Lytechinus pictus: one gene and its partners. The protein of the gene in region 2 binds, or shares a complex with, the protein of the main gene of each other region. Links are inferred from orthologs where the notes say so. Each region holds a gene or a part of one and is shown on either strand. Other genes may lie near its edges.

Region 1 (7,444 bases), on a different chromosome or scaffold from region 2:
GTTGTGCTTTTATCAAGGCTTTCCGATTAAATTTTCGATATCCTGGCCAATCAATGCGAGCGATAAGTTCCGAACGCACGCACATCTACAAGCGCAAAGCAGCGGCACAAATGGCGATATATAGTGACTGGTACATACGTCTGTAAGGATGATGACGTCATCCAAGATGGCAACTTACGTTGACCAACAAAAGGATTGAAGATGACTATGTTTCGATCATCATTTGAAAGGAATTAGCGGTAACTGCGGTCTGAGGTACGATATTTCTGAATTTTATATATTTTTTCTTAAGTTTGAATGTACTTTCTTTTTTATAATGTGACATTTTATGTACAAAAAAATGATCCGAAAATCGGTTTCCGCCGAATGTTAGATCTAACATTACTGCTAATACGTTGGCTGTACGTACGGGCCAACAACTCTTCAGTCTATGTATGGGTGAGTGGAGCCAACGCAGTTCAGCGGAACAACCAAAATACAGAGACTGAAGCTTTTGGTCTACTCGAAACAATGCTTGTATTTCCATAATTTCATTAAATAAACGTGTTTTCACCGGTTTCCCACAGAAGCTATCGCATGGTTAACAAAAGGCTTAATGCATGGCTGATCGTCAACAAAACGGAGTGTCCAGTGAGTTTGGACGCTAGCCTGTAAAACCTCTTCATTTAATGAAATTATTGAAATTCAAGCCTTATTTCAAATAACCAGAACTTTGTTATTTCGTGACCATTTTCTGTAATTGAGGTATCAAATTAAAGAGCAGATATTGAACTTTTAAAAAATGTGGTTTTCTTTTTGAAACCCAGATACAGCCTGCCAAATGACCTTTTGGTATCCCCTCTTCAAATTGTTTTTGCTCACTCATGCGTGAATGACAAGTAAATTCAGATGAAAGAGGAGATTCTAAGCTTTACAATGGTAGGTCATTTGTCTATTGCATTTTTGATTAAGTTATGATAAATCATCGATAAATCTTGGTTACATTTTTTGTGGTACGCACTGTATATCGCCGCCGAGATGACACATGTTCGATCTATTGCAAAAAAAATCTGCAATGGCCGCCCCAGGGTTTCCCCACAGGGGGAAATTTGACACCCTTCCAAATGACTTATGAGGCAGAGGCACTCTCCAGAACATCGGACATACCGGCCGCTTGAATTGGAAATGCGTGCTGTTGATGCGCGCGAGCTCATTTTCAGAACGAAGTCACACGCAGCTGAGCGAAGACGTGAAGATGTCCGATGTTAAGTCTTTAGAGCCAAAAGAGGCCTGTTTGGTAAGTAAATAATTGTTATTTACTGATTTCTATATCAAAATTTTTCATACTAATAATTGAAATCTGCATTTGCGCAGCTGAAATAAGTTACGGTATTTTATCAACAATCAAGCGCGATTTAAATTGCCGAAATTGATCGCAGCACACAACTTTACGTGCCCACTATTTGGAAACTGCGTCCGATATTTGGCAAAAATAACAAGCTTCTGGTAGTCATGAGTCAGTAAATAACTTCCATTCACCATATTTTTTCAGTTTTTTTTTAAATTAGATCTAATATTCAAAATTTGTACTCGGGAAATATGATTTTTATTTGATTCAATGTTTGTATTTTTGTTTTGGTCCAATTATGGTCAAGTGTCCGATACTTGAGCACTTTTTTTTTTACTCTATAGTCTATTCCGTGTCAATCAAATTCATAGGGGTCTAGGTTTTTTTGTTTTATTTTTACCCCTGGGCCTGGCCTGGCCTTGGCTTGGCTTTAGCCTTTTAACGTCCATGCGCAGTGAGTCGCCATGTGCAATTTTTTTACTGTTGCGCCACTCACCTGTCACTGCCTGACTACAATGGTTCTAGAAATCTTTTGCAATGTTGAAAAGTGTCTTGTGGCATCTGATATTAATCCTCAGTAATTCCCTGAAATGCTGCAACGTTTGGTTAAAAGATCCAGCAAAAGACAAAGGAGTTTAGCGCAGTCAAAGTCAGACTTGCAAATTTGGATCCGTACGGTGGAATTTAAGCTGCCATTTTTCTCAGGCGACGATTTGAGACGCCCACACTAAGCAATCGATGTTTCCAAAACTGCCCGCTCAAGTTACCAATATTTGGTATCAAAATATAGATTATAAAAAAATGCTCACGATCATTTCATTTTGAAGGTGGGGGTGACAATTGTTATCAAAATAAGAGGGGGTGGCATCTCAACATATATCTCAACCCACGGAGAGGTTTCAACAACGCAGCTGAGTCAATGCACTTTTGTGTACGATCGGTGCGTGTGTGTGCGCATGCGCGATATATCTGTGTAGTAAATGTATTGGATTTTTCGAATCGGCGACTCAAACTATACCCGTCATTGTGTCGCCGTTCCGGAAGTGTGTAATTCATGATGTTCTTACTAAAAACTGTAGCAATTTCAGGAGAAAAGTTTATCATATATTTGAGAGGATTTGTGGATACTTTCATCTCATACAAAGATTTGGGTAAGAATTTTTTTTTGTTGTTGCAAAATTGAAGGTTGAACTTTGAAGACTGCCGATGGCGACTCACTGCGCATGGACGGACGTTAGGCTTAGGATAAGTCTAAAATAAATCAAACTTGACCACCATCAATGTGAGTGCGTTGTGTACGTAACTTTACGTACAACTGAGAATGCAAAATGCACCAGTGGGTGGGTGGTTACAGTCAACAAGTGGGCAAGTGGCTCAACTCAGGCTCAGCTCCGCTGCTCAACAATGACAATGATTATCTTCTCACGCGGATTCCAATATGTGGGACCGATCCTAAATTTTAAATTAGCATTTTGTTAAGAGACTTTACCTGTACACTCTGATCACTGGAACATGTGGCCATTCGTTGACCATAAAAGTCAAATGCAACATCATGTATCAAATCCTTGTGTTCTGCAGAAATACTCTTCGCCTTAAACATTTTGTTGATTTCCCGCAATATTTCTTTACAGCAGTTTCTGCTCCAAAGCAGATACCATCGACGATCGACGACTTGACAAAATTGGCAATAATACGATTCAGCATAAACAATGATAATCGAACAACACATTATTCAAATTTGTATTTAATTCGATGATTTCAAATTAAATATTTATGAGAAGTACAAAATAAGTTTTTTATATGTATCTATTTCATTTTTTTATCTGAATATCAGTGATTTTAATGATCCATTTCTATTAATCAGTGGCTATTGCCAATTTTCTATTTTATCACGGTGGCTCATTCAGGAGGCTCGCCTAGCACAAACTCAGCTCAGCTACCATTGCTCCATTATATTGTTGTGTCATGTTGATAATGCACCAATTATGTCGAGGATTATTCCTTGCATGTCATGAATCAATTTGATCAAGCTCCTATAAGGGGGGCTGTAACATACACTTTGCATGGGCTGTATCTTGTTTTCGAATGTGCTTGTTTGTAACTTTAAGTAAAAAAATAAATTAGCTATAATTAGTAGGCATATAATGTAGCCAATATAGGTATAATATTATATGGTTTTTTATCCGGTACTTTTAAACAGGTTGATTTATCTATTAATTGATAGAGAGAAAAATAAAACTTAATAGAAACATCATTGAAAATTTCATCGAAATCGGATTTAAAATAAAATAGTGAGCCTAATGACATTCTAAACTTTTGATTATTGATTTCACAACATAGTAGACCCTATATGCCAATAAGGGAACCGATGACGTCACCTACTCACCATTTCTTTTCAGGGTCGAATAAACGATTTTTTTTTTACTGGGGGGCTGATGTAAATTTGAAAAGCAAAAAAAAACTGTTTAACTACAAAATATAGATGTCCGACGTCGCCGCATATGGAAAACTAGCGGACAGAAGGTCCTCGCTGCACGCGCGCACCCTTATAACACGCAGAATTCCCTTGCATCATAGGCCTACCCTTTTTTCACAAACAAATGTGTATCAAGGACAAGCATTGATTCAGATAGAATTTCTGTCCCCCTGAAATGAATATTAACAACTTCTATTTACATTCGATTGGTGGGAATTATGGCACTTTATTACATTAAAATCACTCAAAACCATCCAAAGTCAGGAATATGTATTGGGATAATGGGTTTGGGGGACATTTTTATAGTACCCGGGTGGATTACATCCGTTGTCACATCGGTGGGTGATAGTATCAAGAATTTTCGTTTAGATTATAATAAAGGGCACATTGTAAGGCAAATACTCATGAAAGAATCATGGGGATTAATTAATAAGGAAATAGGACACTTTCATCATCAAATCAGAGGAGATTTTCTTTGTGATAGTGATGTCCGAAGAGCAAACCTACACTCGACGTGCATTCAGGGCTGGACAGAGCTTTTGTGTACGTCGGTGTGTTGTTCGAGTCACAGCGGTTTTCCAGCTCTTTCCATTGCAGTGCTGAACATTTTATTAGGAATATATAAATATATATACATTGTCAGTCCGAACTATAAATATAAATATATCAGATACCTTTATTTTTGCCAACAAAAATCAATTTTATTCTCTGAAAGTTGGATATGTCTCTGAATATTGTGACGGGTCCATTATGTATACGAGGGGTGCATGCATCGCGCATCCTAGCTTACCACTGCATATGTAAGTCTGAAAATTAAGTTTTGCTTATTCCTTTCACTTTATAATGATGTTTTAAATGTTCAAACAACGATAATTCATGAAATTGACACAAAATATTGCGAATCAACGCTAAAACATTATTTGTGTATACATTTTATTTATCCCTCTGTAATGCTATTTCCCCCATAAAGCCGCAAATGGAACATTCTGTACCACTAGTCACGATGATCGCGAGGTCTGCAAACGTCGTCTGCTATGTTTTTACATGTCCGGTACACTGTATGCAAGTTTTCGATATATTTTAGTCCCGAGAAATTAGAAAAGCAAACAAAAAGTTTCATTAAAAAATGTTGGTCATTTTGGTTACATTAATTTTGCCACACCTACCAGAATTCCAGGGGTGCTGCCTACACTGTTAAAAAACCTGATTTTACAGAAAAAACGAGATTTTGCAGAAAGCAATAACAGAATATTTCTGTAAATTCATAAAACAGGAATTTTTCTACAACTTAACAGAACAGGTCTGTTTAAAAAAGGGGAAAATAATGTATATAAGCCCTATATGCTTATAATATATGTATTGATTAATGCAGTATTCTATTAATGCATCAATGTCGTCGAGAGCTCTAAAACTAAAGCTTTTACTATTCAAATTTGAAATATTTCTCGAAAAACATCTAAAGGCAAAATACATTAATGCTCTTCTAGTGTGAGTATATCAAGTCAATGGTCCCCTGCAATACAGTGCCTTTGCTTTTTTTTTTCAAATTAGCTTCCCTTCTTCACCCTCCACAAAGATAAGGACTAGTAATGCCTTAATGTTTTAACTCTATATTTTTGTCAAAAACTCTCTGATTTTTTTTTCTATAAGATATTCTTTATGACAATTCAATTCATTTTTTTTAATTTCCACTTAACAATACAAATTAATTATGATACAATATTCAATACATAGGCCCCGATTAGTGGGGGATAACTTTAATACATGTGAATAAATTAGTTATGGAAAACATTCTCAAGCATTTTTTTTTCGCTCAGTCGCTACGCTCCTCGCATTAAATTATAAACATTTTTTCTTAGGGGCAGCGGCGGTTAGCTGCTTGTCAGTAGTCTCCCCATAGAGTACACGATATGCCATACGGTATTGAATAAACCAACGGTCGAAAATTTATCAAGCCACCCCCCCAAAAAAAAAAAAAAAAAAAAAAACTCACTTTTAGTCTAGAGCCACGCCTGGTTAAAAATTAGATTCTTATGTGACTCATTTCACTTCATCTATTTTACAAAAACTTTGGAAAATTGAGTATGTAGGTCTATCTGTCTTTCAAATTAATCTATCATGCGTTGTATCAGTAGTACGCTTTTTTTTTTTTTTACATTTTCTGGTCAATCTTAAATCATGAATGTTACATCCATATCTGTTGCCCACTGGCTCAAAACTAATGATCAAATAGATTTAATTCCTAATTACATAAATTGGTATATGTATATTATTGTCATAATCAAATGATCTTTTCATTTATTTGTAATTCCGTCTGAATTTTTAATATCGATGCCTAACTTTGTATCGACTCAGATCTGACGAGAATGTTTCCACGCAGAGAATAAGTGAACAGCATTTTTATTGTACCAATGCCATATAAAACAGCAGGAAAGTTCTCTGTACTTCGACCGCCCGCTCAGATCATCAGCCGAGAAGCCTGAATGAGTGTCGAATTTGGAAGGGACGAGTTATTTTATCCACACATTTCTATGGCTTGAGCTCTCTCTCATGACCGGTACCGTATACGTAGCTGAGCGCTCGCACCACCGCATACGACACAGATCGTCTCACGGGCAAACCCCCCTGAAGTGCCACGACCGACTACCGGACCGACCGTACCCGGTACCCCGGCGCGGATCCACAGATATAGAGATCGAGCCTACGTAGGTACAGCGCAAGCGGTGCGTGAAAACAAATGCTGCTGGGCTGGAATTGTTTACTGCAAGATTTTAAGTTAATTTTTCATATGTCTGGATAGGTTGTTGGCCTGTGGGTTTGATTGGAATTGTGTTAATCTTCACTGGACTGCCAAAACAGACTTCAATTCAAACTTTGTTCAAATTCAAGTTCACTAAAAATCAGAGGCAGAGCCAGAGGCCAGAGGCAGAGCAGAGTCAGACAGCTGTGAGTGTGAACAACTCACGACACAACTCACAATTACAACTACAACAAGTGCAGTGTTATCTCGACTCAGAAAAGTGCCCAGATAAATCATCTGCATCTGCTAACCTGTGTGGCGGTTTTTTTATCCTGGGCTTTGATGTTTGGTAAGCCAAAATATGACTTATGAGGCCAGTGTGCGTAGATTGATATTTCATCTTTCTCTGAGTCAGTTGGACTAAAATAATCTCTGAGTAGAATTAATATAAATATAATGTAAGTTTCGCTTTGGTTCATTCATTGCGATGGGAGGGGGTCATATGGTTAGCCAGGAGGCTCCTAGACCTAGAGAGTAAAAATCATTTACTTACGTATGCTTACTCTCCACGGAGCCAGGGATTCCGTCCCATTCATGTGCGTGTACCGCCAAAAAACCTGAAACTTTCGCTCCGAGATTTCTACTTTCCTTATTAAAAGATCTAGCCCTAAATCGTGTAAATGCCTGGGATACAACTTCATTTCTGACATTTCTACGCTATCGATATCATCTTTAAACAAGAATTCATGAAAAAAAATGAGAAAAATATTATGAAAAGACGGGGTAAACTTGCTCGATGTTTACGCCACCATCTTGTTTCTTATTGTTCTTCGCCAACGTTACGGACGCTACTTCACATTTTCATCAATGATTTTATAGTTTACAATCTTGCCATCAGTTT
Region 2 (7,599 bases):
TGCATTATTTTCAACATTCGATTTTTTTAATAGTTCAATTTCATACTTGTAAAATTTTATTTCTATGATCAAATCAACTTATTGATGGGGCATGTTGGACATTAAAGAAATAGTTGAAGTAAAATGTTTTATTTGTAAAAGCTGTTATTGCTTGATTGTAACATACATGTCATGATCTCTTAATACTATCATTACAATCATGATAAGTCATTTCATTTTCCCAACTATAACAATCTTTTTGCCAATATATTTTTGTGATATCATGATTTTACTTATTTCATATTATTGCTGAATGCTTTGAAATAGTTGCATGTATGATTAATATTAATTGTTTGCATGAATTAAGACATTAAATTGTATGCATTATTTATCGAGATAGAGAGAGTGTGATCTCGTTATGTGGATAGTAGGTTTCGCCTTAAAATAAAAGTGTATGTTTGTATAAATTGTTATTATCCTGATTAAATCAGCTTTTTTAAACCGATTTTAGTGAAAGGAGTATGAAATTATGCTTATTCACGGTGAGTAAAGAAATGAAAAGAGGGGAGCTGGACAAGACGAGAAGGAAGAAACGAACAAACAGTTTTTTTAAAAAGTAGAAAGGGTGGAAGGAAGGAAGGAAGGAAGGGAGGAAGGAAAAAAATAAGAAAAAGAACAAGAAAGAATGACAAAATAAAATGAATCATAGAAAGAAAGAAAGAAAGAAAGAAAGAAAGAAAGAAAGAAAGAAAGAAAGAAAGAAAGAAAGAAAGAAAGAAAGAAAGAAAGAAAGAAAGAAGGAAGGAAGGAAGGAAGGAAGGAAGGAAAGAAAGAAAGAAAGAAAGAAAGAAAGAAAGAAAGAAAGAAAGAAAGAAAGAAAGAAAGAAAGAAAGAAAGAAAGAAAGAAAGAAAGAAGGAAAGAAAGAAAGAAGACAGAAAGGAAAAAAGACAGAGAGAAAAGGCAAAGAAAGAAAACAAAGGAAGGAAAAAAAGAAAGAAAAGGGAATGAAAAGAAATGAGGGAATAATGTAACAAATGAATCGGTAAGGCATGTGAAGAGAGATAGAGAGAGTGGTTTAATGTTGAGGTATTCCACTTGGTGCTTACAATTTTCCCCATAATTTTAAAAGAGGGGATAAGGTGCAGAGAGAGCTAGAGGGGTTTGAATAGGTTGGGAATTCATTTTTTCAATTTGTAAATTCTTAGGATATTATCAGGAAAGGTTTATCTCCCGGCCCTCTCCCCGGCCCCTACCACCCCCCTCTCTCTATAATGCCCTCTCCCCCCCCCCCTCTCTCTCTCTCTCACTCTCTCTGACAGCATATAGTTGATTTTTTTTTCCTGCATTTGATTTGTTTTGTTATATTTCTCCTTTTGTTTTGGTTTCGTTTAATTTGTCACTCTGTTTATTGTTAGAAATGTTAATTTATCATTGTAAATTACTTGATGTTCGATACTAATTTGTAAAAAAAAATTGTGCATTTCATTTTTATTGTAATCCTTTATGTTTGGATTTGAAATCAATAAAAATAAACTTGAAACTTGAAACTCTCTCTATCTCTCTCTATAACACGCAAACACATTCTTTTTTACTATCATTTATCTCTCCCGGCATCTCGTTTCTCCATTTCTACTTTCAATTTCAAGCTTGGTTGTGGCAATCATTTATGTATCATTTCATATTTTGTTATTATAGTACCAAAAAAAATATAGAAAGATCGTGGCAAACTATTTATAGTTAAATCATGTATTTTCAGATATTGTTGACCTTGTGGGGTTTTTTTTTACGATAAGCCTATGTTTTGCATAGACATTATTAAAATGTCCTGTGTAAAATTGTACATCAGGGGGGATAAAACCGAATAAAATTGAGAAATAACTCATTTAGGGTTGTTTTGTAAAATGTGTGGTCAAGCTCGAATGAGGAGATTTATGTTTCATTGTTTTAATTATTGAATGGCCCCTTCTTGATTTTTATAATTCCATTCATTCAAATAAACTCGAACTCCGATTTGTGAAGAGAATGGCACACATTTCATTTAGCTTTGAACAGGACACCGGGCAGGACACCTTTCGTCAAACTTTCGTTGCCAATTAATGAACACACGAATATGATTCAAATCAATCCTATCTTTTAATACATCAATCCTATTTTTTTATTCCTCATCGTAGGATGAAGCAATGGAGAATAGGCATGTGCCACTTTCATTTATACTGTCAATTCGCAGGATCCCCAAGACACAAAATGATATTTAAAAAATGATGCCCCTATGATTTATCACGGTATCTTGCAGGCCAGAGGTGGGACTAGCTAGGGACCTAAATGTGCAGCGGCGTAACAGGGGTCGGTGGCCAGGGGGGGCAAGAGCCAAAAATTTCCCGGTCATATCATGGTATGAACAGGCGTAATGGTGTAATGAGGCGACACATTGAGAAGGCCAGATATTGCGTATCGGGCTGAATTTATCTTTAAAAAAAGTTTCAAGCGAGCGAAGCGAGCGAGCAAAAATTTTGACCTTTTTAATTGAAAAATTAAAATGTTGTGCTAGATTTTTGACATGATATCCAAAAAATAATATATTTCACTCTTCTCTCTTTAGATTCCTTTTTTTGTGGTCTGTACGCCACTGTGAACAGGATTCTTTGCGGCAGTAGCGTGAAGAGTAAAAAAAAAAAAAAAACGAGGGGCGCAGTATAGCACATGTTCTAAAAAGCTGCTCTATATAAGTCCAGAGCGAGCGAAGCGAGCGAGAAAAAAATCACCTTTTCATGAGAATCTAACTTTGAGCTATTTTTTGACATTATATTCAGTAAATAAAATCATATCCTACACTTTTCCTTTGCTTTTCTTTCCTCCTTTTTTTTCTTGTCTGTAGAACTTTTTGGGGCCATGGCCCAACCCTTCCATACGCAGTGCTGTGCGGTTGGGGTCCGGGGCGGAGCCCCCGGAACTTCTTGATATCAAAGCCATCATAAAACATGTAAAACTTCAAAGATTGCCGCTATTTTAATCAAAATCGCGGGCATATACAGAATATAGCTCTTACACAACACATTTATTTAACCCAGTTGCGTAATCACCAAATATTTGGGGGGGGCAAAACATAGCAATTTTGGAAAAGTTTGTAAAAAGTCGCCAGTGTGCAAAGCGAGCTGGAAAAATATTGCCTATTGAAATTAAATTCTAATTATGTGATAGATTTTTTCATTATATTCAGCAAATAACACATTTCATTGGTTCCGTTCATTTCATTATATGTTGTCTCCTTTAATTTCTTTTATTTCCTCTTGGGTGTGGAACCAAGACCCCCCCCCCCCCCTCCGCGCCTGTATGCCAGTGATTGAACGGGGGGCGTTATAGAGCCATTTGAAGGTTTTAAATGAAGAACCCCTACTGCATGGGGTCTGGGGCAAAGCACCGGTAGCTCATTTGCATAAAATTTAGCAACGTGATAGCACAATGTTGTATGCAGCCCGTCTTTCTTCCCGTTCTTTAATTTCAATCATCGGCAGCCCGGTCGTATTATTATTTATTTTTCTTGTCCCTTTCCTTTGTTTTCCAATTTAGCTTTTGGCGAATTACATTCTACCTTCGTTTCCCGCTATTGTTTGCCATTTTTTATCTTTTAATTTATTTCCCACCGTGTTATTGCATTACATAGGCCTTAATGTTCTTCTTTCCTACATTTTCCCGCTTTCCTTCCTTTTCCATTAAAAAAATGGGATTTCTTCGTTTTCTTTTCCCTTTCCTTTTCCCCTTTCCTTTCCCTTCCCCTTTCTTTCTCCCTCCTTTTTTCTTTTTCCCGTTTTTCTTTTCTTTTCCCGGTGAAATCCGCCAGGGGGGGCAACTTGCCCCCCATGCCCCCCCGCCTGTTACGCCACTGTTAAAATGTGGTGACGAATTCCTTTTCCCAATTGAAATAAGGCAGGGTGCTACGTAAGCACTTGCCCGTGGCAAGTAAAAGTTAGAGTCGGGCAAGTGTTTTGAAGTAAAGACCAAAACTACTTGCCAAAATTGGGCAAGTAGAATTCTCACAGTAGAATGGCCAAAATTACGGTCGATGTCAATAACAAGGTACTAGATCAGGTCAAAAGAGAGAAAAAGGTCAATGGTTCATAAAGCCGCAATACTTTCTTTTGAAGGGGTGAAACTTTTTTTTTTCAATGATTTTTTTCGGGCAAGTGAAATAAATTTTTTGCAAGTATATTTGAACCATTCAAAAATGTACTTGCCCGACTGGGCAAGTGCTTCTAAAAAGTTATTTAGCACCCTGATTAAGGGTAATACAGAGTTAAAATCGAACCAGAGATCTCTATTGATACTCTTCTTTTTTTTTTTCACAATTAGATGGTCATTTTCGCGGGTTTTTTTTCATGGTCACTAAAAAGAGTGGGGGCTGAAGCCCCCCTCCCCCCCCCCCCCCCCCCACAGTTCCGCGGTCAGTACCCTGTTGCCCACCCCTCCGAGGATCAAGAGATTGCCTTTATTAGTCGCTTGGTCGCATGCATTATGCATACGGATATGATCGGTACAACGCATAGAGATGTATACTAATAACGTAATTAGTATACATCTCTATGGTACAACGTCGTATTCATGAGCTTATTAGTCGCCACCTTTAGCAGCGGGAGCCATCGCAATCAATGATCACACAAACCGAAATCACTTTGCAAAGGGCGATCCAGTTTCTTACAGGATAGAGGTAAGAAAAAAATAATTATTTGTTTCATTGTCTTTCAGATTTAGATGCATCCCAGATTCCTTCATTTTAATTTGTCAAATGTACCAAACTATTTATTGTTTATGACATTTTGTAGCTCAAAATATGAAACTGATTTGAGTGATTAAGAATTCGCAAAATATACAGTCCCACACCCTGTAAATGATGTCGGGCCAGAATCACACAAATTCAATGCAATTGCGAGAGCGCTGCGCGAAGTCTAGACCAAAAGCTTCGGTCTATGTTATGTTGGTTGTTCCGCTGAACTCCATTGGCTCCACTCACCAAATACAGACACCGAAGTTCTAGTGCGACATGTACAGGGACTCAATGGCCGTTAAGTTCGGATAAAAGTTTAAAACGGGAAGTGAAGTTGCGCGACAGCCGAAGTAAGTCACTGTTTTTCCCCCTTTTAAGTTTATTTTTCCCCGTTTTGGTGCATTTCAGGCTAAAACGGAATAATAATCTTAATTTTGGTACAGTTCTTTTTATGTATTTGTATGAAATAAAAATAGATAAGACCCGTCGGGGGGATTTTGCATTGTAAACCCCCTAATGGTGGCTGCACGATAGCGAGCCGTCTGTGTACGAGGAGAAATTAAAAAAAATTAAAATGTTAAAAAACTCGAAACAGATGGCTGCCAGCTGTCTACGCCAAGTCATACAGAGTTAAGTCTAGCTTTGGGATCAAATTGGTGAATTTTTTTATTATACCCAGTCAATATATAATCTGCCTGACTAGAACTCTAAAATAGAATCGTGAAATTGTGAATATTTCAGTTCCCAAAATTACCAACTGTTCCGTTTGATTTGATGGAGGAGTATTTGAACATTTTTTATTTCACTTGTTTGATTTCTCATCCTACACAGATGGCTAGCCATCTAGCAGTCAGTATGAGCCCCATAGTAGGCTCAGTGTATTATTCCCCTCAAAATGGTGGTTTGAATTTTTTATTATTCTTATGAAAATTATAATGTTTTAACATGACACCGAGTCTGAGGTTGTGATGATTACTAGATTTTCATTATTTTAAAACTTCAATCATTCATAGACCTAAATTTTGATTGAGATGTTGAAATAAGGAAGAGCAGTTGAAAAGGCACCTGTCCTGCAATGTCTCAAGCCAGACATGCCAGAGAGATCAAATGTTATCCCCTTTCTGTTTTCTTTCTTCTTTTTTAATACAATTTTATTTATTTTTTTTTTTTTTATTCCGTCTGTTGCCACTTATGGCCAGCAAGACAATTTACTAGTGAAATTTAGTCTATCATTGATGGTTCTGATGAAATACATCTCACTTGTAAACTGTCTTTAATTCTACTCGTTGAAATGTGAACTAGTATGCACAATTTTATGGAGAATTTTCCATCTAGCGATGTACACGCTGGTTCCAATTTTGAAGAATAGATAAGACAGTTCATGAGTCGGATTTAGTTCGTCAGTGATGATTCTGATGAAATGAATCAGTCAGCGCTGAATACAGTGTATGACTTCCTTGATAAACCTACCTGTCAATAAAAGTACCGGTAGCTATATTTTTGTAAATTGTACATCCCAAAACATCTAAGTCAAGGAGACAGTCAATTGCCCCCAACATCTCATAATTACATTTACAATCCTTCTCGTATCATTCTCTATTATACTTTGACAGTAATGCCGAGTTGCAATCCTCTACCTTAGAATTTGGATACCAAGATGACGAGCAAGTGGACACAGGATGTTCAGTGGTCCCCAGTGCATCCCGAGACATTCTTTTCTCTTTCTGTTGGAACCAACCAAGTCGAGTTCAATCAGTTTGCCGTAGAGCCACTCGCCAACTATGGTAAGACAATTACCATTATAAGGCAGTAGATCTCTGACTTTCCTGAAATGATTTGTCTCTTTATTCTAGTTCATATTGTAGGGTTTGTGAAATAAACATCTACTTGTATTGGGAGGTTTGATTTGTCGATGGGAAGAAATGATATCCGTTTAAATTCAACAGGAACATAACAGCAAATATAACAGGAACATACGGAGCCGAAGACGGTGAACAAAATAATCGATGAGAGTGACTGGGTGTATCTATCTCTGTATCTGCATCTTTATTAACAAAAATATCTTTCTTCTTATATCTTCCTGGCCCTACATGAAGTAGTATCCACAGTAACATTACATTATTTACATTAACCTAAAGCTAACCAATGAAATTCAAGAAAATAGGAGAACCCAAAGAAAATGTAGTTGCCCAATTCATAAAAATAAACAGTGAAAAAGGACTGACGTGATGATGGGTAAATGACAAGGGTGATTATGTAATGAAGAATGTTCAACAAAAGTACCAGATATGAGGATGGAATGAATGAGTACATCTGAATAGGAAAGGAATGAAGATGACTAGAGGAGTAGGATAGTGGCTGATGTGATGAATAATACCTCGGTCACATAAGCTCTACGGCGGCCGTACGGCGAGTCGAAAGCAGCCGTTTTATTAATTGTTATTCAAACCATCTATCATGTCTATATCATGTAGCAGGTACAAAAAATGTTGAAACGACTGTTTTTGACTCGCCGTACGGCGGCCGTAGAGCAAATGTGACCGTGGTATAAGAACACAAGTATCTATAGGTAGCTGACTGAAACACATACCAGACTGAACTAAATGAACTGAACAGATGTCAAACAAAAGCAAACCAAATGTACAATTAACCTTTCTACAGTGTGAAAAGTTCATATGAGAAAGCCCTCGCATTATCATGTCTTGGGCAATTCACAAGATAAAGTAAAAATAGAGAAATATGGGGGTCGAACCTACGAGAAGTTTGATTATTTCATAGTAATAGTAATTGTAATATAATCATTGTATTGTAAAGAAATTGACATCTTTTTTCAGATTGCACATTTAGAAATGATATCGCC
Region 3 (7,259 bases), on a different chromosome or scaffold from region 2:
TTTAAATAAGATACATAACTCACCAATAAAAAATAATGCGAGCGCAAAGCGCGAGCTCAAAAATTTGTGATATTCCAACCTGAAAACTGGACATTCTAAGCATTTTTTTGTGAACGGGAAGAGAACGAGTACAATAATTGATGCGAGTGCAGGAAGCAAGCCAAATATTTGTGATATTTCAACCATAAAGCAACATTCTATACATTTTTGTAACCATTAGCAGTACTGTACTAAACAATAATTGATGCAAGCACGATTCAAAATCTGTGATTTTCGAACCTAAAATATATTATGTTTTATTATTAAAAAAGGTATTTCTTTCATTTGGACAAAAAAATCTTATGGGGATTTTTTTTTTTTGGGGGGGGGGGCAAGAGAGCACAAAGCGCAAGCTAAAATTTTCAAATGCTTAAACTGAAAATGAGTCATTTTTAGGACTCTTGTCGTTTTCATATTTTTTTCTGCTTACAACCACTTTTATTAAACAGTTAATTAATCATTAATTATTAATACTTATCGATAATATTAATAATTATTAATTTTTAAATTATTTTTTGTTAATTATTATTTCTTGAAACCATATTGACACAAAAAAAAATACGTTGTTTATTTCCTTGAAACTGTAGAGAAATAAGATTCAATGTTGAACGATATATGATAAAAAAGAAGTAAAAACTTTTTCCCCTTTGTTTTGTCAATCTGACCCAAAACCAATATAAAATTTAGAAGAGAGATAGAGAGAAGAAGAAGTCCCACCACCAAGAATAAACTTAGACAAGGGGGGGGGGGGGGGGGAGGGAAAGGAAAAGATGGAGTAAATGTGATATTATTTTTTAAACAATCTATTGCAAAATTAGCTTTTCTTATAGAAAGAGGGGGACAAATTTTGTTCACTCGCTCGCTTCAATCGCTTTCTTCTTTTTTTTTGACAGAAATTTTGCTCTATATATGCCATGCTTGGCCCCTCATAGTTTCTGGCTCATCATGCCATTGACATAACCCATTTGGATATGACAAAATTGGAGACTGTGTTCAAGTTTACCAAATCTTTTCAGAATATCATTAAGACTTAAAACATTCTTGTTGGCCAAAGAAAATAATACAAGGAAAATTCATTCTGAGCAACGTGAATGCTTACGATCGGCACGGTCGAGGCCAAGTCCACTGCGCATGCGTACTCTCAATCCGAAGACGCAAGTCATGAATATTCATATGCTGCACGTACGTGCATAGCGCCAACTTAATGTGTTCCGCCATCTTGCTTGTTGGTTGCCGATAAAATGCGCATTTTCAGATTTTTTAACGCTCAGTTATTATCCATGACTGAAACATTGACCAATCAAAAACTAAGATTCTATAAGAAATATGAATATTCATATACGAAAGTAAAAACATAGATAATTCAGTGTTATGTGAAATTTAAACCCAATACTTCAAAATATGGTTAGTTTTATGTCTCTAAAATGACCCTTAAAACCAGAATTTTATTACTAAAAAATAAAGGTTTTCCCAAGTTGCCATGGTAACGCGGTCTGAGATAAAAAAGCTTAGCAAACACTTCATTTCAGTGATCGAGGATGTATTTGTTTACGGTATACGTCTACATAAATTATAACATTTTTTTCCAGACCATGGATGAACTTTCAAAAAGAGACATTTTAGGCAAGTTTTTACGATTTCCGGAAATTTTCTGACACAGGCACTTTGAAGAGGTAATTTTTACAGAATTAGAAGAAGACATCATGGATTTTCCTAATTATCACGACGGATATGCAACTTACTTGTAAACAAATCAAACAAAGTCTATGATACATTTTTGATAATGCAAAAAGAGACATTCAAGTCTCTGATTGAGAGCCGCAGATTGAACATTCGCACGGCGCAATGGTAGCGTTTTCGCCGAATTCGTCGGGGCGAAAACTCCAAGCGAGCCGTACCACTCACCAGTCCCGAACGCTGCGCTGTATGTTTGATGATTTATCTGGTGCCATTTCGTGCTTATAAATTAGTTTTTTCTACAATGCCACTATCTCATTAAAATTGTTTGTCATGATAACATTGGAAATATTATCGTTTAATGGCCCAAAGGATCGACTCTAATAAAAGATACTTTGAAATATTGTCAAAGAGTGATTAGTTAGGTGATGTTTATGGTCAGAATTTAGTCATGGCTTCGGGTGAACTTACGCGAACGCGGTCACTTGCTCACGGGGTGAGTCGGCCTGGCCCTTTGGTGGAAGGCCGTTAGGCAACGTGCAGTGCAGCTAGAGCAGAGTTGGGGAGTTATAGGTATAAAAATACTTTGAAATAAGTAATCTGCAAATATTTTTGTCTTATCCCTTTGGATTACTTAGATAAGAAATTCAAATTCTCAAAGTTTAAATCAAATTTTAGACAGTGACAACAAAGAGTGGTGCTGTATGGGGGGGGGGTCTTGCATGCCCCCAATTCACGAACAAGAAAAAAAAAGGAAAAGGTAAGAGAATCTTGCGAGATCGTTCAATTGGATTTTTGTAACCAAGAGTCAAAATTATGCTTATGTCGCTTGCTTGCAACTATATATTTTATAAATTTTGCCTGATACGCCATATCGTTTTACCCTCAATTATTTTCGCTTGTTACGGCTTACGCCACTGACTGATATAACATTATTTGGTTGCGGGATCAAAGCATCAGCTATAGCTAAACATTTATACTTTATGCCTGTTCAACTTCCAATACAGGTTTAGGCCTGTATTTATGAGATGTTAAGATCTATGGACGGTAGACAGCTGGCAGCCGTCTGTTTCGAGGAGTTTTTTAACCATTTTTAATTTTTAATTTCTCCTCGTACAATAGACAGCTGGCAGCCGTCTGTTTCGAGGAGTTTTTAAACATTTTTTATTTTTTAATTTCTCCTCGTACACATGTATTTGGTGAGTGGAGCCAACGTAGTTCAGCGGAACAACCAACATAACAGAGACCGAAGCTTTTGGTCTAGATATATGGGTGCCTTTATTATTTTCATTTTCAATTAAAACAATTATTAATTATGTATTAATTTAGTATTTACCTCGATGATACATTTTATTGTGTTAAATCGTACAATTTCTGTTATATTAAGCCCCTTATTAAGCCCTTTTAAAAACATGCTCAGTAGCAGACCCCCCCCATATATAAAGACAATAGAAGTGTATATAGAATTAATTGAACCCCCCCCCCCTATTGAGGACAAAATGAAAAAAAAAATACTCAAAATAATCGACCGCCCCCCCCCCCTTTGACGAGGCAGCTGTCGGTGGCCTGATGTCTTCATTGACTTTTTTTTGCTTGTAAAAATAATATTAAAGAAATAGGGGCTACTCTAAGTGTCCCCTGTGAAAATTGATCTGGATCTGCAAGTGCATGAGGCTGCGCCCTCTCCAACGTCATAGCTACCCCATATCTTTAGGTTCTAGCTCTCATATTTTTCAGCTCCCTGATTTTTTGGAAGAAAAAAAAACGAGGCGAAAGAAAAGAGTGAAATAAATGAAATACGATTAATCAAAATTTGAGTTGTTTTCTATACTTATCAGAGAAACTAAATTAAATTCTACAACCATGAAGAATAACAGCAATCTTGATAAATTCTGTTTTTTTTTCAAAATCAGAACCAATCAACCTTTTTCTGATTATTCTGTCACTTTCCATATTTTGGAGAAAAAAATAAAAGTGTTCATCGACGCCCTGTACTGCACGATGAAACTGTATCCCCACTCGGCCCTCGTAACCCCCCCCCCCTCTCTCTCTCTCTCTCCCTTCCCCCCCCCCCCCCACCACAATGCCCCTTGCTCATTTCTCTTATCTCACCTTGACCTTAATTAATTAATCTTAACTATTTGGCGGTACAGTCAAACGTGACTGGTCGCCATCATAGTTTCATCCCCAACAAACAAGGAACAAACAATAACAATTCTGTTTTTCCACCCAACATCATTCCTTTCAATACGCGTAAGGCTATACGTGGGCATGCACAAACAACGTGGGTTAACAAAAACTGACCCGCGTTTGGACTGAAATTGTGATTAAAATAAAAATGTTATAAATATGAAAAAAATATGTGTATAATGAAGGATATTTGATAAACGGAAAAACATCAATCGCTAATTCATAAAAATGCTGGAAAAGATTTGACAGTGGTTTTTAAGAACGGTAATCAAGGGGAATTAGTGTATGGGTGAATGGCGTTCGAGCTTTAGCCGAGCGTTAGCCGGTGAGGGCGCGGGCCAAATCTGGCAATATGGCGTCGTCCATTAAGCTGACGTTAGGCCAACGGCGACTGCACGTACGTGGCTGGTCCAGAACTCGGTGGGAAAAATAATTTCGCGCCCGGGCCTTGTTCTTTTCCAACACAAAAACACACATTTGGGACTATATTAGTATTTGTGTGAATCAAGAATATTAATGAAATGTTTTGTAACTGACAAAAACATTTTCATGAAATACTTATGAAAAAATGAAGAATGATGTGCAAGCCAGAAGAAATATCCTACCCTACGGCTACGGTATTGTACCTCGTCAAAAATTTGTGTGACTCGTAAGATCCGACCTGTTTTTCTCGCTTCGTATGCTGCCACATTTGTACCGCCTGCTGCATCATGTGTTTCTAGATCCTCGATCTTCCGAACATTATCGAAATTCAACGCGAGACAGTTTGGATCAAAACTGTGAGAAAAGCACACAACTGAAAAATGTCATCAAAAGTCACTCCTTTAAGTATAATATTGGTATCATCCGGATCAAAAGGTTACCGGTTGTTATTTAGATATCCATTTCAAGCAGAAAAACAGCAAGAATTAGTTAAACGAGGTAAGTGAAAAATAAATAACCAAGCTCCCATCTCACTGAGCTCAGTCCCACTCGTTGAAACCTGGGTCGGTTACTTACTCGATCGGTTAAATAAAAGACGGGGAGGGGGGGGGGGGGGGGGAGAAAATAATGAAGGAAGGAGAAAGAAAGAAACTTAGAATGAAAGAAAGAAAGGAAGGAAGGAAATAAATGAATAAAGAAAGAAAGGAAGGAAGGAAAGGAAAGGAAGGAAGAAAGAAAGACTAAAACTAAAAAAAAGAAACCTAAAATGAAAATTACTTGAAACTGAATGAAAGTTTAATAGTAATAATTACTAATACGGTACAGAAATTCCATAATTTCTGAAAAAGTAAGTTGCGGAGTAACTTTACAATCCAATGTCATAATGGATTATGAGAGCATGGATTACACACTAGTATTAGAACGAGGCATCATCATAGTCATACTTCAGCTCATGACATTGGATTCTAAAGGTAAGCCCAAAGTAGGTCATTGTTTGTTTGTGTGCCGCAAAATACAGAGACATAACAGGACCTTGCTCAGCTGTATGTCGCAAGCATGCACAAAGTATAGGTATACTCATCTTGTGTGTTAACTAATTAACATTGCTGCATGCAAGCAAAAATCCTTGAAAATTCATGAAATTCATAATGCAAGCCTATATCTATATGATCAGTATGCATTGTGTGTTGCACTGTGCTTGCTTTTTACAGCCACAAAGAATCCTCAACAAATGGGTTTCGAAAAATGATCAATAAATTTGGACGTTATCAAATGTTGAACCCCGGCCCCATCCCCCAAATAATGAGAAACGAATGTGAGGAAACTTGAAATAAGCTACATGTATCGAAATCTTTGAAAGAAAGAAAGAAAGAAAGGAAGGAAGGAAAGAAAGAAAGAAAGGAAGGAAGGAAAGAAAGAAAGAAAGTTCAAAAGAAAAAAATTATAATTTTTTTAACTGGAAGTGGTACGCTAGTGAACCGACCATTTTGTTTTCATGTGTAAGTAGATCGTATAATTTGTTATTGATATGAGGTTATAACTGATTGCATACTTTATGTACGCATACATTTGTTATATATATATATTTTTTATGTTGTTTATAAACTTTATATGGTGTACACTCATACCCTGAGAGGGGGTTGATAGAGTGAATTAAATATTATCTATCTTCTAAATCTTACACAATGTATCTATCTATCTTCTTAATCTTTGATGGATTTTCCTCAAACCTTCACCAATATTTTTTTCTGGTATTTTTACAACATGTTTTTCTTCAGGGCGAACTTCCCTTTTAAGTGCAAGCACCCTGTCACATCACCAGGGAGGTTGTGTCCAGGCTGCTGCCAGCGCCAGCTGACATTCCTAAAATTCCATTATGCCAAGTCCTCATGGTCAGATATTTTAGAAGTTTATTAACCCCTGTGTCCAAGCATGTTGAAATAAAGTTGACAACGTTGGACAGTTTTTAGCTTGTTTTCTCTTGATCTTGTGGATAAATGCTTGATTTGTTTATACACCCCCCAGATCTGTCAGATAATCCATTTGCACTTCAGACCCCCGAGGATGATCCGTATACTATCTCAACTAATCAGTCATCTACAAGACAGTCGTGCATTATATCTGGGTAGGTTTTTGTATTCTATTTTGGTTTGTTTCAGGTGGGGGCTTATTTTCTTACTTATGCTCATACAGTACATTTTTATCACATTCAATGGCAAATTTTGGGCGGCATTTTAGAGCTCAACAGTGCATTTTTACATTTAAGGGACAAATTGTGTGTTTTCTTATGTATTTACACAGCTATTAAATTGGGCAGGAGGGGGGGGGGGTGATAAGGTGCAAGATACTACCACGACGTTAACACATCAATTAGTGCTTGCTAAGTGTATGATTGAGCCATCTCCCCACCCCATATTATTCTTTCTTCATTTATTTTTATAACTTTAAAATCATTATTCTATCCAAGAACGATAAGGAACTGGAACAACCTACCCAGCTCAGCTATCAACACCAAAGGAATGTCCAGTTTCAAGGAGGCTGCTCTCCCTGCCATCAGAATGATGCAGCCCCCTATTGGATCCCATATGATTTAAAGTCAAAAGCTTGGTTTTTACTTGCACTCAGCATAGCATGTTTTACTGTACATATACAAAATTGCTATGTCTGTTCATCACCATTTCTGCACTTCATGACACTCCTTCCAGTGGCTCACTTTATTCATCATCCCAGTATATCTTCTGTATGAGCTGCCAAAGGGATTACTACATCAAGTATCAAGAGGGTATTTGCCTCCTTGCTCCTCACTGATGTAGAGCCTCCCACATAAATCAATCTTAAACAAATGTATGTGCATTTTTTCAAGAGTGTTCTTTATCCAGATTGTGAGAGATCCCTAATGAAAATAAGCTGAAATCAGCTAAGAAGTTAAT
Region 4 (7,008 bases), on a different chromosome or scaffold from region 2:
GCATGTCGGGACATGGTCGGGACAGTACGCGAACACTGCGTGAGCTATGCGCGAACTATACGCATTCTATATACATCCCCCCCAATCAGTTATATTGGGAGGAGAGACCTGCGGGTCATAGTGATTCAGTTCGCTTTTCGCCTCCCAGGCACAGGTGACGCCAAAACAAAATAATAATAATAACAACGCGCAAACATGTTACGAACGTGTCAGGACAATGCGTGAACTGATATATCCAAGTCGTGCCATAAAGTGTCCCGCACTGGCACGCATCAATGCAGGGAATTGCGGGCACCACAATACCTGCATGTGTCAACTGGGCATAAGGCTACGTCTCATTAGCTCTTTCTGCCAATAGAATCGATATCGAGAGATTCTAGTAATACACGCAATAAGCCTTTTGTGAAACGTGTTAGTACATTGTATATTGGCGCTAACTCTGTGGTTGTTGGAAAGAAATACAACTAACTTGTCCCGGTATTGAGAAACAGGCCCCAGGTCTCTTACTTAATCTAATGTTTATTCTTTTCTTCTTATTATCATTATTATCTTATTTGGCATTTCAATAAAGATCAAGTTACAAAGCAAATACATGAGTGCAAATATACTATTATCCAAAAAAATTTAAACTAAAGGTATATAAAATGACTTACAATCATATCTTCATGAGCTGTATCCACAGTACTGATTACAGAAACCTGAAGGAGAAACAAAAAATTGTGAAAATTTATCTAATTTAATTTTTATTAGGCCTGGGAGTAAACATCGATTGATCGAATGGCTTGCCACCGATCGCCAATCGATTAGCAAATTTTACACTGACCGAATGTTTGGCAGATCCCGATTATGACGTTGGGATAACTCAAATACCCAAGTAATAATAAAAAAATGACAGGATAACTATGATGACAATGGTTTTTGAATACTTGATACAGGTTTAAAAATGATGTTACCAAGGTAATTTGTCAAAACTGATCAATGATTGTATCACATTCACAGTTAAACTCCGACCTGAAAGAGCTCCGAAAATGTTAATCCAACCCGGCCTTGCCCTCGATACACAATACAAGTCATTGTCTGCGTGCTCAAAACAGAAAGTAAACACACAACCAGCTCACTTGAGCTGATTGGACCTTCTATTAGCCAATGAAACTTTTTGGGAAACAAAGAAGCCACATGCGTTCCCTTATCAGGAAAGGTCATGACTTCAGAAATAAATTGACCCCTCCCCATCTGTGTGTGTGTGAGGGAGAGAGAGAAAGATAGGGGAGAGGGAGCCAGAGAATTCATTTCATGTTTCAAAACAATGCAACCTAATACCAGGGTACCAGCATTGATTTAGGAAAGATTTTCATTGGAACAATAAACTGAAAGATTTAATCTCATTTCATGTAGTTTCTTTTGAAAATCATGGAGAAGGGGGAAGAGGGCCTACTTTCATTTATGATAAACATGTGACTTTGATGGAGATTTCTTCATTCGGGAGGTCACCATAAAGTAGGTGAACTATTGTGACTTAAAAGATGTGATTTCCGATGAACAATCAAATAATTTGATTGTTTTTTCAGGAAATAATCGAATGGTAAAAATGACATTCATCCCAGGCCTAATTTTTATCACTGACTTAGTGACTAATCTTAGAAGTATTCACAGATCTAGTTCGATCAGGTTGTGATACTTGGGGCGAGGGATGGGGAGGAAAATAGTTGATTTTTTTGTCCATGCTACAGTATGCTGCCGAGAACAAGGTTATATTGGCTATATAACCTTGTTCGTGTGTAGACCAAAACTAAAGCTTCGGTCTTCTTCTTGATTATACTCCTCAACATCCTTATTACTATTAGGAACCACCCGAGGAGGAATTGGGAGTGCACACTTCATTTCTTATTAGTCCTTGTTGCTTAAGTCTTTGTTGCGAAAGTATATAGTTGCCTGTGTTCTGAAGTTATCGGAGACTGAGAGTGAGATTGATTGGATGTCGGGGGGTAGAGAATTCCAGTCCTTGATGGTGCGTGGAATATATGAGTTCTTAAACTAAGCAATTGGTGCGAGTTGAGCACTGGATGAAATGTTATGTTGGTTGTTCCGCTGAACTCTGTTGGCTCCACTCACCAAATACAGAGACCAAAGTTCTAGCTCAATCTGTACAGGGACAATGGCCATAGGCCTATGTGTAAATAAGTTCAGATAAAACAGGAAAGTGAAGTTGCGCAACAGCCGAAGTAAGTCACTGTTTTTTCCCCTTTTAAGTTATTTTTCTCCGTTTTGGTGCATTTCAGGCCGAAACGAAATAATAATCTTTATTTTGGTACATTTCGTTTTAGGCCCCCTATAAAAGGCTATAATTTTTTTTTGAAATAGGCCTAGGCCTAGGCCTAAACTTAAAGACAAAAATCGATGAGCCGCGTCAGGGGGATTTTGATAATGGTGGCTGCACGATAGCGAGCCGTCTGTGTACAAGGAAGTTTTTAAAAATATTAAAATGTTAAAAAAATACTCGAAACAGATTGCTGCCAGCTGTCTAGTTCGTATGATGAGTGGCGCAGACATGCCCCCCCCCCCCCCTTTCATAGGATAAAACACCACACCTTTTGACACATACGGGACTGAGCACAGAACAATTATTCATTGAAAGAGCTATTTTGGGTTTAAAACGTTGAAAATCTTGATATCAAAGTATTTCATTAGAACTGAAATGCATCAATTTAAAATGTAATATATGAATAAATAATTTTCTTACCATCTTGCCCAGAACTTTTACAATTAATTCATGAAAAGCTAAAGCGACGTGGCGGAAAGCTGCTTGACTTCTTCTATCAAATAGGCAATTTGCATGCAAAATGGGACCGTATACCGTACCCGGAACCGAGTAGGGCCGGGTTGGTGATAGGTAAGGTTGGTGGTACCGGTTTTCACTGATCCTGCTTGCTTGTATTCAGATCAGTGCAGTGTTCCATCCATTCCATTCCATATGATTACTTGTTTTTATTTGGCAATAAGTCATGATTTACTATTTTGCCACACACTGTATGTCAAGTAGGATAAGCATTTTCTTAATTTTTTTTTCTTTCATTTATCTTTTTATTTTAAATTTATATACATTATATTTCTTTCTATATTTATTCTAATCATATGAATCAAATCATAAGGATCAACACACCAACATTCTAGTACATGCAAAAAAAATGATGAATAATACCTTGGTCACATTTGTTCCACGGCGGCCGTACGGCGCGAGTCGAAAACAGCCGTTTTAACATTTTTTTTGGTACGAGCTACATATAGGTGGTTTAATAAAAATGAATACAACGACTGTTTTCGACTCGCCGTACGGCCGCCGTAGAACAAATGTGACCAAGGTACATAGAGATTTCAACAAGTTAGATTCTCAGTGCAGGGGCCACAGAACGGTTTTCAAAGTGGGGGGGGGGGGGGGGGGCCGACCATACAAAAATCACAATCCTATGGTCATTTTTACGTTTTTGTACACGGTCTTAGAAAAAAGTGGCCCCCCCCCCCCCCCGCTTCCGCGGCCCCTGCAGTGTAGCATCACTTATCTGCATTAATACTAGATTTGTGATTCAGTCTCCTTCTTCCTTTTTTTTTTTTTTATATATATTTTTTTATAGATATAAGTTACAATTCTAATTATCTCAGTAAGCCTAAGATATTTTTTCTTGGGTTATATTACTTTTGAACCGTAAGACAGACAGAGAGAGAGAATATAATTATGTAATCAAGAAGTAATAAGAAAGAAAAAAAAATGATTTGCATTGACTAAAAGAGAGACAGGCAAAGAAGGAAGCGCCCCCTCCCATACCTAGTCTGCAGGCACAGACCCTGATTGGAACTTTGATCAATAAGTGTGCCTCCACGCAAAGACTAGCACATACAAAACTTGCTGTTCCAATACAGGGTCTGCATAATCTTCCAAAAATCAATTCTCACGCTCCAAATCAAGCCCCACCTCCTCCTTTCAGAGTCACTTTCCATTGGCTAGTAAACATTGTCAATCAGCCTCCCAGGGGAACTGCTACCAGTGGCCAGTGAGAAGATAATTGATAACTCAGATAAGATTTAGCCAGTAGTTAATCCAACATAAACAATGTCCCATGCCCAGAAATCCCTCCAGGGATCTTGTGGTCTACATCCAAATGCAGAAATGAAATGGTCATTACAGGGCCTACTGTATAATCAAGGAGATATCACTCTATATCTCCTTGGTATAATACCATAGGAAATGGTCACATATCCCTGCTAGAACAAAGCAGGGAAGTACACGTAAGCTATAGAAATGTCTATTTCTTGTATTGGCCCATTATAGTTTGTTCCAATACCATGCAAACAGTCTCTTTATATCTTTCTGTTGGGTCATTTTTTCACTTTATATAGGTTGGAACTTCCTTCGTGTATTTTATTAGCCCTATAATAGATTATGAATATAACTAAGGATCAGTATAGTAGTAGTATAGTATAGTATTTATTTCAAACCATATCAAACACAAACAATGGTACAGAATACAAATTCATAGAACTCAGAATGATAGGTCAAGGACAAGTTCACCCAACAAAGAAGTTGATTTGAATAAAAAAAGGAAATCCAACATTTTATAACACTGAAAATGTCCTCAAAATCGAATGTTAAATAAGAAAGTTTAATCACATTTTAAAGTTTCTGTTAATTTCACATACAGTTTTCCACATCCTGGTCCGATTTGCAAATGAGGAGACTATCCACTTTTTTTGCATTTGATTATGTGAAATATTCTAATTTTCTCCTCATGTCAAATGAAACAACGGCCAATTCCTCCCTGAACATGTTGAATCAGCTTTTTTATTACTATGGTTCAGTTAACTTGGTCCTTATTGCACAATTTAAACAATAACAAACAAATGAAATAGTGAGTTAGGGTTATAAACTGTCTCGTTTGCATCCCAGGTGTGCATGTCACATCACTGTTTTGTGAAAAATAAGCGAAACTTTAAAATATCATACATTTCTTATTTTACGTCCGATTTTGATGAAATTTTCAGCCTAGCTAGTTTGATTTTCCTCTATTTATTCAAATAAAAAAATTATAGGGTGGACTTGACCTTTAAGATTTCATATAATTTGCACGAAGTCCATTTCTCTTTGGCTCTCATTTTTCTTCCCTATTCTCCACATTTATTTGATTCTATCTCATTACTCCTTAATCACTTTTCTTTTTTCTAGTTAAATATTATTACATCTTTAATTCCAATCTGTCATTACAACCAGGGCTGTTGGCAACAGAAAACTGTGTGCAGGTTATAAATAGTAAAATTAAATTCAAATACTTAAAAAAAAACAGTGAAGACTTTATATTCACAACTTAAAATGGCATGTAAAATGAGAAAGACAATGATGTCCCTCATTTTATACTTTTTCTTTCTTCTTCTTTCATTAAAAAGTAGTTTTAACGATATTTCAATGTTTACAGATTTGACATAAAAGACCAACTTGACTGAACATATTAAATGTTAGTACCATGGCAATGCCACATGTTTAGAAGAGAAAATTTTGCTTCACGTGACGATGAGGAGAAATTTGAAACATCAATATTCAATATATAAAATACCAAAAAAAAATGATGTCGTCAGTCCCCTCATTTGCATACCGACCAGCAGTGGCGTACTGTGGGTCACGGCATGGGGGGGGGGGGGGGGGGGGGGCACCAGCAAAAATTCTGAGCCACTTAGTGAGCGCGCTTCGTATATGTATCTAACTGATCAAATAATGCGAGCGCGAAGCGCGAGCTGAAAATGTTGGATATTCAGACCTAAAAAGGGACTCAAAAATTTTTGTAATCATTATACGTACCTGTCTCACTAAACAATGCGAGCGCGAAGCGCGAGCTGAAATTTTTGTATATATTGACCTCAGACACGGAGATTTTAAGGACTATATTTTAGGAATCCATTAAGAGTATACATATCTCACCATAGTCATCTAATGCGATTGCCAAGCTCTTGCTGATTTTTTTAGTATTGCATCTAAACGCATTAAGCACTTGTCATGCTTGTAGTAATTGTAATCATCATTATACGCATCTCACTAATCAAATATTGCGAGCGCGAAGCCCGAACTGAAAACTTTGGATATTCAGACCTAAAAATGGACATTATAATCAAATTTGTGTAATCATTATACGAAGAGCGAGCTGAAATTTTTTTACATTCAGATCAGAAAAAGGGATATTTTAAGTACTGATTCTATAGGAACTCATGGAGGGCAGTTATACCTCACCAATCCACTAATTGCGAACGTAAGCACGGACAGGAAATGTTTTATATCAAGACCTTAAAATTAGGCAATCGCTTTAAGTAGTCATGAAAAAGAAGCATACTATTGTGCATAAAACAATATCTCGAAGTGCGAAAAAATATATTTGGTGTATATTGACTTGAAAACGGGAGGTTTTAGTACAACAGGATTAAATATATTCTTAAACAGACAATGCGAGCACCAGGAACAATGAAGACATAGCCATAGGCCCTGAGTTAATGTTTCATAAAGTTATGAAAAAGATATTTCTTATGTAATATAACATAACATAATTATAATTTAACAAAACATCAATAATTTCTTCTTTCCCAGTACGTTTCTCTTCCTTTCTCCCTCTTTTTCTCCTTTTCCCTGTTTTTTTTTTTTTTTGTTGGGGGGGGGGGGGGTGTCAGCCGATTGGGGGGCACGTGCCCCCCCCCCCCTCCCGTAGTTACGCCACTGCCGACCAGGATGTTCAAATAATTGTTGTGAAATACATCACAACTCCCTGGTGAAATGAAGCAAACATGTAAATTGTTATCACTTTCTTTTTTTCAGCTTTAAAGGTCAAGTCCACCCCAGGAAAAAGTTGATTTGAATAAATAGGGAAAAATCAAACTAGCAAAACGCAGAAAATTTCATCAAAATCGGATGTAAAATAAGAAAGTTATGACACTTTAAAGTTTTGCTTATTTTTCACAAAACAGTGATATGCACAACTC

Evidence for each region.
Region 1: GATOR2 complex protein MIOS-like (region 2) and nucleoporin SEH1-like share a complex: the UniProt entries of both Drosophila melanogaster proteins name them as parts of the GATOR complex. The link is inferred for Lytechinus pictus from reciprocal best matches to the Drosophila melanogaster genes mio and Nup44A.
Region 3: GATOR2 complex protein MIOS-like (region 2) and GATOR1 complex protein NPRL3-like share a complex: the UniProt entries of both Drosophila melanogaster proteins name them as parts of the GATOR complex. The link is inferred for Lytechinus pictus from reciprocal best matches to the Drosophila melanogaster genes mio and Nprl3.
Region 4: GATOR2 complex protein MIOS-like (region 2) and protein SEC13 homolog share a complex: the UniProt entries of both Drosophila melanogaster proteins name them as parts of the GATOR complex. The link is inferred for Lytechinus pictus from reciprocal best matches to the Drosophila melanogaster genes mio and Sec13.

Annotation. Positions count from the first base shown.
Region 1 is NC_087246.1:48,199,296-48,206,739, forward strand, and holds the start of nucleoporin SEH1-like, read right to left. Parts: upstream 3,011-7,444; 5' UTR 2,928-3,010; coding exon 2,817-2,927; intron 1-2,816. UniProt on the Drosophila melanogaster protein: Probable component of the nuclear pore complex (NPC). Involved in maintaining the localization of another nucleoporin Mgtor to the nuclear envelope of early meiotic female germline cells.
Region 2 is NC_087257.1:8,783,252-8,790,850, forward strand, and holds the start of GATOR2 complex protein MIOS-like, read left to right. Parts: upstream 1-4,595; 5' UTR 4,596-4,682; intron 4,683-6,352; 5' UTR 6,353-6,396; coding exon 6,397-6,523; intron 6,524-7,599. UniProt on the Drosophila melanogaster protein: An essential component of the GATOR subcomplex GATOR2 which functions as an activator of the amino acid-sensing branch of the mTORC1 signaling pathway.
Region 3 is NC_087254.1:36,127,187-36,134,445, forward strand, and holds the start of GATOR1 complex protein NPRL3-like, read left to right. Parts: upstream 1-4,239; 5' UTR 4,240-4,709; coding exon 4,710-4,827; exon of another isoform or gene 4,828-4,880; intron 4,881-6,354; coding exon 6,355-6,454; intron 6,455-7,259. UniProt on the Drosophila melanogaster protein: An essential component of the GATOR subcomplex GATOR1 which functions as an inhibitor of the amino acid-sensing branch of the TORC1 signaling pathway.
Region 4 is NC_087247.1:59,274,069-59,281,076, forward strand, and holds the start of protein SEC13 homolog, read right to left. Parts: upstream 3,026-7,008; 5' UTR 2,744-3,025; coding exon 2,741-2,743; intron 699-2,740; coding exon 654-698; intron 1-653. UniProt on the Drosophila melanogaster protein: Functions as a component of the nuclear pore complex (NPC) and the COPII coat. At the endoplasmic reticulum, SEC13 is involved in the biogenesis of COPII-coated vesicles.